2 linked regions of the Macaca fascicularis genome follow. The main gene of each other region encodes a partner of the protein of the gene in region 2 in a complex. Links are inferred from orthologs where the notes say so. Each region holds a gene or a part of one and is shown on either strand. Other genes may lie near its edges. The genes, in order: CDKN2A and CDK6.

What was found.
Region 1: the proteins of CDK6 (region 2) and CDKN2A are in contact, whole or in part, in a crystal structure (PDB 1BI7), measured with the Homo sapiens proteins. The link is inferred for Macaca fascicularis from reciprocal best matches to the Homo sapiens genes CDK6 and CDKN2A. Residues at the interface, in NP_001138778.1 of Homo sapiens: Glu14, Cys15, Val16, Ala17, Glu18, Ile19, Phe28, Lys29, Arg31, Leu33, Asn35, Gly36, Gly37, Arg38, Phe39, Arg44, His100, Asp102, Gln103, Asp104, Thr106, Thr107, Asp110, Lys111, Gln149, Thr154, Ser155, Leu166, Ala167, Arg168; in NP_000068.1 of Homo sapiens: Thr18, Ala21, Arg22, Gly23, Arg24, Glu27, Asn42, Tyr44, Arg46, Gln50, Val51, Met52, Met53, Met54, Gly55, Ser56, Arg58, Asp74, Ala76, Thr77, Thr79, Asp84, Arg87, Glu88, Gly89, Phe90, Asp92, Asp108, Trp110, His123.

The regions. Positions count from the first base shown.
Region 1 is NC_088389.1:76,950,312-76,954,900, reverse strand, and holds the start of CDKN2A (cyclin-dependent kinase inhibitor 2A), read right to left. Parts: upstream 3,099-4,589; 5' UTR 3,075-3,098; coding exon 2,949-3,074; intron 1-2,948. UniProt on the Homo sapiens protein: Acts as a negative regulator of the proliferation of normal cells by interacting strongly with CDK4 and CDK6. This inhibits their ability to interact with cyclins D and to phosphorylate the retinoblastoma protein.
Region 2 is NC_088377.1:128,509,652-128,514,244, reverse strand, and holds the start of CDK6 (cyclin-dependent kinase 6), read right to left. Parts: upstream 2,898-4,593; 5' UTR 2,806-2,897; intron 261-2,805; exon of another isoform or gene 21-260; 5' UTR 1-20. UniProt on the Homo sapiens protein: Serine/threonine-protein kinase involved in the control of the cell cycle and differentiation; promotes G1/S transition. Phosphorylates pRB/RB1 and NPM1.

The sequences.
Region 1 (4,589 bases), on a different chromosome or scaffold from region 2:
CCTTAGTTTCTGGGAACGTTGAACTTAAATTTCTTTTTCATTAAATTAGTTTTAAAATTACATATTGGCATAGTACAGTTGTATATATTTATGTGGTACAATATGAAGTTATGATCTTTGAACACAATGTGGAATTAAGTCAAGCTAATTAACCCATCCATCATCTCAAATATTTGATATTTTTGTCAAATGAGAGCATTTGGGATTTACTATTTAGCTATATTTATCATGCTGTGAAACACATCTCAAAAAAAATCAAACTTATTTCTTCCATCTTAACTGAGGCTTTGTATCTTGATTACCACTCCCCATTCCTCCCACTGCCCCCCTCCCCAGCTCCAGCAACCACCATTCTACTCTTTACTGCTAAGAATGTATTTGTTTTATATTTCACAGATAAGTGAGAACATGTGATATTTGTCTTTCTGTGTTTGGCTTATTTCATTTAGCATAATGCTCTCCAATTCCAAAAATTCAATTTCTTCAAGTATAAAATAAGAATGCTAGACTAGCCCTAAAATTCCTTCCTGTGGTAGGTTGAATAAGGTCCCCCCCCACAAATGTCTATGTCCTGATCCTCAGAAACTGTTAATTTATTAACTTATGTAGCAAAAGAGGCTTTGCAGATGTGATTTAAGTAATGGTCTTGAGGGAGATTATCCAGAATTTTCAGGGTGGGCTCAATAGAACCCCAAGTGTTTTTATTAGAGGGTCACAGTCAGAGAGAAGATAAAAGAATGGAAGCACAGGCCACAGAGAAAATACAGGGAATATGAGCCAAGGAATTTGATGGTCACTAGAAGCTGGAAAAGACAAGGAAACAGATTGTCCCTTAGAGTTTCCCAAAGTGGACCCATTTTTGACTTCTGATCTCTAGAACTGTACTGTAAAATAATAATTTTGTTTGTTTTAGCTAACACATTTGTGGTAATTTGTAACAGCAGCAATAGGAAACGAAAAGGCTTCCCAGGTTTATGATTTGAGAGTTCATTAAACAAGAGATGGTCACCTTTTTGGTTCCTAAATCATCTTGGAAACAAAGCCATTTCCAGAGAGGAATTTTAAAATACTGTCTCCAGTCATAGCAACCTTAAAATTTGAGTGTTGCATGGTGGAAATAAACAATTTATTTTAGGATAACTGTTATTTGTTATATTAGCTTGAGGATGGTTGTGTTAAAGAGGAATTACTTATTTTTAGGTACATTTCATACTAAACACAAATTGCATAATTTGCCTAAATCAAGGAATTATACTAAATTATATTATGGTTATTAAATGCTGTCCTGAGAAAGTGAAACTGACTTAGTTTTCAAAGAGACAAAGAGAAAGTATAAGCAAACCAAATTGCAGCTACAAAAAGAAAGACAAAATGTTGCAGCATATTTATTGTTCCGTGTGTTCACTGAAGTTCTCTTTGTCTTGGTCATAAAACTAGCCTTAAAGGTTTTTATTATATTTCATAGAATGAAAAACCTAAAAAGTAACCCATATGTAAATATTTAAATCATGATATAAATCCAAAGCAAAAAGAAAATGAATTCATTGAATTAAAATGTGTAGGATGCTTAAACCCATTTGATAATAAATTGATATGAATTTAGCATTTAAAAATATTATACAAATAAGTGTTCCTATATTAAACACCAGTGTAGTTAGGATTCTAAGCCAACAACACTTCCCCTTTTCTACATGTTCTTCTCCCTTCCCCATTAAAAATTGTCAAAACTATCCACTTTTCTTTTTCCTTTTTGTTTTTAAACAAATAAGGTCTCTTCTAAGATGTTTTAGGACTACAAAGCCAAATTCCCGGGTCCAAGCTGTTGGCAAAATTTTAGAGATGCTAAGTTACCCATGCATTAATTACTTTTAAATCATCCCCTAACTCCCTCACAAAACCGGAGTAGGGAGAGGAGAAACACCACTGTTCAAAAATGAGGAATTGAAAACTCTATCACAAAATAAACTATTATCAAGTAAGCTAAAGATAGCAAAACAGTAAAAATATTAGCAGATATTCCCAAAATGGTGACTACATATTACTTCTGGCACGATCACATGAATGTAGCTCATTATTTCCTAAGTTCCTACAGCAAACATGTATTTATTTGCCCTACTCAGTTAAAAATAAACACAATATGTAGTTGCTTCTGAATGCTTTTTTTTTTTTAATCTCCCTCTCTTTCTTTCTTTCGACAGTCTCACTCTGTCACCCAGGCTGGAGTGAAGTGGCTCCCTCTCGCTGTTCACTGCAACCTCAGCCTCCCGGGTTCAAGCGATTCTCCTGCCTCAACCTCCCGAGTAGCTGGGATTACAGGCGCCTGCCACCACCCCCCGGCTAAGTTTTGTATTTTTAGTAGAGGCGGGGTTTCACCTGTTGGCCAGGCTGGTCTCGAACTCTTAGGTGATCCCCCCGCTCCTTGAGCTCCCAAAGTGATGGGATTATAAGGCGTGAGGCACTGCGCCCGGCAGCTTCTGAATAATTTCGATCAGAAATTTATATTCGATATTTATTCCAACATACAGCACAGATTTCCACTGATAATCCCTACTAGTAAGAAAGATAAACTCCATCCAGGCATCTGTGAATTGGGGGCTAAGTAGTCCCAGCACATCTTACATTTCTTTAAGACTCCCGTTTTATCTCAAACCTTCGTAAGTTTTGTATCTGATAGAGCATACTTCCATCTAATACAAATATGTTCCCCCCTTCAGATCTTCACAGCATTCGAGAGATCGGCACGCGCGTGCCTCCTCATTCCTTCCTTGGCTTCGCAAGCACCCAGGGCTTCGCCAGCAGGAGGTCTGTGATTACAAACCCCTTCTGAAAACTCCCCAGGAAGCCCTTTTTTCCAGACTCAAAGCGCTACCTGATTCCGACTCCCCTGCAAACTTCGTCCTCCAGAGTCGCCCGCCATCCCCTGCTCCCGCTGCAGACCCTCCACCCACCTGGATCGGCCTCCGACCGTAACTATTCGGTGCGTTGGGCAGCGCCCCCGCCTCGAGCAGCGCCCGCACCTCCTCTACCCGACCCCGGGCCGCAGCCGTGGCCAGCCAGTCCGCCGAAGGCTCCATGCTGCTCCCGGCTGCTCGCTCCCTGCTCTCCCACTCTCCGCAGCGGCCAAGTGCACGCGGCCGCCCCACCCTCTGGTGACCAGCCAGCCCCTCCTCTTTGTTCCTCCGGTGCTGGCGGAAGAGCCCCCTCGGCCTCTGTCCCCCTCAACTCCTCTGGAGGGATCGCGGTATCTTTCCAGGCAGGGGGGCGCCGTTCGCGAGTGCTTGGAGGAGGTGCTATTAACTCCGAGCACGTAGAGAATGTGGCACCCCTGAAGTCGCCCCAGGGTGGGCCTCCCCCGGGGGCACCAGCCGGAAGCAGCCCCCGCCAGAGCCAGCGTTGGCAAGGAAGGAGGACTGGGCTCCTCCTCCTCACCTGCCCCCAACACCGCCCTCCGGCCTCCCTGCTCCCAGCCGCGCTCCCCCGCCTGCCAGCAAAGGCGCGTTCGAGTGCGTTCACTCAGTTAAAAAGAAAAAAAGAAATCCCCCCGCCCCCCGCCCCGTTTCCTTCCTGCGCGGTACAACCTTCCTAACTGCCAAATTGAATCGGGGTGTTTGGTGTCATAGGGAAAGTATAGCTTCTTCTTTTAATCATAAGAAAAAGCAAAACTGTTCCTTCCTAGTTGTGAGAGCCCCACCGAGAATCGAAATCACCTGTACGACTAGAAAGTGTCCCCCTACCCCCTCAACCCTTGATTTTCGAGAGCGCGGGGTTCACTAAGTCAGAAATCCTAGTTCAAAGGATTCCTTTTGGAGAGTTGGCCTACCCTCTCCTTCTCCACCCCTTCCCCTCCTACGTGTAAAATGGCTGTCTGGGGCAAGGGTTTCTCAGACGTGTACATTGCCTGGTATAACAGCAGACTCTGAAAAGATGAGGTTTATTTAATACGGGGGAGATTTCTGCCTGTAGGCAGATAGGAAAATGGAGATGGAGTCATTGGAAGGACGGACTACATTCTCAAAGTCATAATTCCTAGACCAGAAAAAGTGCTCAGTGTTCTAGAGGCAGAGTTGCACAGTGATCCAAAGACCCGCTTTACACATTGTCCTGTCTCCTACACACTCCTCACATTTCTCTTTCCTACTGAAAATACTTTGCATTTTTCTTAGTTATAAAGGGAGAAGGGAATATGGGTACCCCCTGCTTTACAGGGGTGTTGTGAGTTTAAATGAATTGTTGTATATTAATACATATAAGAGTTAAGAACACTGCCACACATCCTAAACTAATACCTGTTAGCTCTTGAATTATCCGTTTTGAGGATTGGCTTGCACTCTTGTTTTGAGGCATAGAAAGAAAATGCTTTGGAGCCGGACGCGGTGGTTCACGCCTGTAATCCCAGCACTTTGGGAAGTTGAGGCGGGCAGATACCTGAGGTCAGGAGTTCGAGGCCAGCTTTGGCCGTCTGTACTAAAAATACAAAACTTAGCCGGGCGTGGTGGTGCACGTGTGTAATTCCAGCTACTCAGGAGGCTGAGGCAGGAGAATCGCTGGAACCCAGGAGGTAGAGGTTGCCGTGAGCCGAGATCGCGCCA
Region 2 (4,593 bases):
TCAGTCCAGAATCATTGCACCTAAAGGAGGAGACGGGAGGATAAGAAGAAAGTGCAATCAGACAGCCCAGAAGCCTTCCTCGGGGTTCCTCCAGACTCCCCTCCTCCTCCTTTACGAAGCCTCCATCGCTACCCTCCGCGCGCTCCTGCCCTCTCCCAAGCCGCTTAATCCTTCCTGGTTCCTCCGAGAAAAGCGAAGTTACTTTTCTTTCCCTGCAGGGCTGAAGCCGTCTTCGCGCGGAGAGGTTGCAGGGGCCCCTCGGGGATGAGCGAGCGGCGCGGGACGCAGTGGAACGGGAGGGGGCGTGCCGAGCAGCCCAGAGTGTGCCGGGAGCGCGGGGGAGGGGAGGCGCCGGGCACGTCAATGTCACGGCTTAATATTTATCCCTATATCATTGTGTTGCGTCGCTACCCTCCCCGCCTCCTGAGGCCCGGACGTGCAGGGAGATGGGGTCCAGGGGTGCCGGAGGGCGTTCAAGGGTCGCGCACAAGCTGGAGCGGAAGGACTGTGGGTCCATCCGTGTGGGGCCGCAGAATGTGGGTGGGGGCTCCCAGGACCCTGTAACCCGATGCTGTGAGTGTGCGAGAAGGGGTGGTCAGACATCTGCTCAGAAATTGCTTCCTTTCTTTCTACTTTCAGTTTTTCTACGAGGAGACATTTAAAAACGACTCGCATACACAAATGGTCTCTTTGGGGTAAAGGAGTCTCGGTTGGAAACGGAATTCTCTCTCCGACTGGGAGGACCTCCCTGGTGGAAACCTTGGGAAGACCAGCCATCTGGTCGGGGAGGGTTGGGGCTAATCGGGGGTGGGCGAACGAGAGGTCCTGGGGGAGGGGAGACACTGTCCCCCACGGGATCCCAAGGGTGGGAGAAAGGGGTGTTCGTCACAATTTCGCTTGTCGTCTTCTTAAAGAATAATTTCAGGAAGAGGATAGCTTAATCGCGCCTCGTCCTGAAGTTTTAAATTGATTTCGACCTGAGCAAAACTCAACCTCTCTTTCAAAGGGTGGGGGGTGGGGGGTTAAACCCTGCGCCTCCAGGGGTGAGAAACAAGGTCTCTGCCCTCGGGGCCCGGACTCGCGAACCTTTTCCCACTCCCAGGACCACCCCGCTGTAGGTAGCGGAGGTGGCTGCCCCATTCCCTCTCCGGCTAAAGGCCGGGTCCAGGCTGCAGCCGGACGCCCCCGGAGCCCTCTGCATAACAAAGCGCCGGAGAAGGGTACCCTAACTTTCCCTCCCCATTCAGCAGCTATCTGGGACCTAGGGAGCCTCCCTCCCCCACGGCCGCCGCGGCCTCGGCAGGACTTTCACCACGCTGGCCGCGTGTCCGGAATTCCCGGGGCACCTCGGAATTACCTGCCTCGCAACCGCTGCCCCGCTCGCCTTTTGCCAGGAATTAAACAAACGGCGCGACCCCCACGATGAGCGCGTGGAGCGGACCGCGGCGAAAGCAGAGCTTCTGGCACTCACTCCATTCAGAACTTTCCTTAAAAGCCGAGGAAAGAGCCCCCAAGGACTGCCCGGGCGTCTGAGCCAGGTCGAGGGCCACACAGGTAGCCGGGGAGCCGCCGCCGGCCGCCCAACCCGCCTCTCCTGCGTCCCCCCATCCCCCTCCCGCTCGAGTCTAGCCCCGGGCTCCGCAGCGAAGGAAGCGTCGGGGACGTCCCACCCCCGCAGGGAACTTCGCCTGCTGCCCCCGCCGGGCCCCGCACTACCCTGACTCTCCCCCCACTCGCCCCCCAGACGGTCGGCTTCGGCGGAGAGAAACGGGAGCAGCAATGCCTTTTCCCCCCCTCTCCTCCACTTTTTTTTTGTTGTTGTTGTTGCTTTCCCACGCTGGCTGAATGTGACTTGACCCCATTTCAAAAAAAGTTTGACATAGTGCTTCAACATTTCCGCATTCCTCCGCGACTACAAAGGCTGCAGCCGCCTCCTTCTGCTTTCTGTCTCTGCTCTCTGTCTTCACACTCAATGAAATCCTTCATGCGCCTCTCCCGAAGCCTGCCAAGCACCACAAGGGTCGCCACCAGCACGGCAACAAGAGGCCACACCGGGGACCGCGACTCCCGCGTGTGCGCACACGCAGATGCGCCCATATGCACACGGACGGGCGCCCTGCGGGGACAAGGGCTGCTCACCACGGGGCGTGTGTTTAACTCCAATATTTTAAATGATAAAAGTAAACTTGGAAACTAAAGCAAACGTGCGTCTTCGTGGGGCTCCAAGCCTGGGCACCGGCCGGCTGCGTGCACTCTTCTGTGCATAACACGCCCGCAGGAAGCCTGCGTTAACATTTATCTCGTGGAGGGGAAGGTGGAGCCCACACCCACACCTCAGCGAGCTGGCGAGGGAGTTTTCGTGGGGGAAATGCAAGCACATTCTCCAGCATGGAGTCCCTAGAGGCAGTGCATTTTGAACCCTAAATGTGAATTATTATGTGAATGTCCGAGTAAAGTTCCAGTTCCGTTTGGAGAAACTGGATGAGGAGTGTTCTGTGTGAGTGTGTGTGCGCACGGGTACGTGGAAGCAGGATCTCGGTGTCGCGGGTGTCCCTAGCGTAGGATCTCCCCCTCTCGTCAGATTAGAATCCTCTAGCTCCCCAAAACTGGCCCCCATAACCAACGCCGTCTCAGTTCGTAAGGGGTTAACCAAAGCCGATTCCAGGGAAACACAGGTCCCCCCCACCCCCCGCCAGCCTCCACTTACCCCACCCACAGTTCTGCCTCGGACCCCGGCCAATCCCCCATATCTCCCCAGGGACCCCCCACCCCGCAGCCCACCCACCCGAGCGCACAGCTCCTCACCTGAGGGGCCCAGTCGCGTCGGGCCTCCTGAGGGGGCTGCGAGTGTCAGTCGGCTCTCCGCACGTGTCCGCGGCCTCGCGGAGCAGGTAATCAGACTCTGGGGAAGGAGTTACCAGCACTCTCTCCGGCGAGGGGGTGGGCACAGCGGCGGAGGGCGGAGGGAAGGCGGAGGGCGCCGCCCGCGCCGCTAGCTGGGGGCGGACGGGGGCCGCGGGGCTCTGGCCGGCGCTGGGGGCCCCAGCCAGGGAGGCAGCGGGGGCGACCGCGCGGGGTGGGGGCAGGGACCCGAGAAGCCAACTCTGCCGGAGACCCACCCAGCGGCGAGGCTGGGGGCTCGTGGCGCAGTGGCAAGAAAGTGTGCAAATTAAAGCCTTCCGGAGAGAAAGGAGGCGGCCAAGCCCCGGCAGTGCTCCGAGCTCCGGGCTCCCTAGCTCCCTTCTACGAGTCGGGGGCTAGAAAGGCGCGGGGCGGGGGGGTTGGGGGGGCAGGGGAGTTAAATGAAAATTTCCGGCTTTCACTGAAACTGTAGTAGGGGGATCCTGCGACTAAAATAAGCGGCGTTAGTGGGAGAGAGTGGGACGTGTCGTCGGGAGTCGGCGGAGTTTCCAAACCCAGGGTCGCCCAGAGTTGGGGTTTTGACAGGGTGAAGCAGGGGGTATCCTCACTGTGTGACGTGGACGGATGGGAAAAACACAAAACAACTAACAATAATTATGAAGGGCCGATGGGGGTGGTAAATACCAATACTTTCCAAGAAACTGAAAAATCAGACCAAAAAATAACTCTTCTCTTAAAAAAATAAAGAAAAAGTTTGGCAGGATGCCTTGCAGAAAAGAAAATACTAATCTGTTCAAGCACTTTTCACTTTCAGCATGAGCTACATTTGTTTTGTTTTCCTTCGCTTCCTTTCTGCCTCACAAAGCCCTATCTTTTCCTTTTAGACAGAGGGTATGGTTTGGAAATTGTCAGGCACTCTTATGGTTAACGATCTACTTGAAGGGGCTGGCGGGTTCACAATTATTAAGTGGTTAGTAACTGCTGAGGGTTCACTAACGTATTTCAGAGGAGCTAAAAGGACTAAAATTTAGTGTAAATAATAGAACTGCAGACAATAGATACATACACAGAAAGAGGAGTGCTCAGTTTAAATGCATTATTGGAAATCTGAAATTTGAAACCTTGTAAGAATGTATACTTTACCTGCTGAGAAACCCTTGAATACAATTATTTCAGGTGAAAATGAGCTTTTGGAGAAAAAAAGTCTTTAAAACCTTCTACAATGGAGTAAAAGAAAACTTGAAATAGCTGTCTTTTTGGAAAGAATTTGGTGTTCTCCCCAAAATCTCTATCTGTAGAATACTTGAAACCCTTTAAAACATATTAAAGAAAAACTTTTCACAAAATTATTTACTTCAGTGCTTTGTAGAAAAATTAAAACCCGGCAAAATTCTGTTTGAATTGGACATACTACTTCTATAAATCTTTTGACTTTAAAACCATGTTACTGATCTCATAGTAAATCAAATTTTTGCCTTTATAAAATTGATTCTATATTATAGTATAAGGTAAGGCTAGGGAAATAAAAAATTGATGCATTTCCAGTAGCACATATTTTGCAATGCATTATAATATTTTTTTCTTTAAAAATAAAAGTGAATAATTGTATGTCTTTAAGCTTAAGATAATTCATAAAATACATTTGTGTTAAGAGCATGTCTTCTAAAATAAGATCCAGTTTTCTGAACAAAATTTGTATTTATAAAGCTATCTATAATCTCATATATCTTA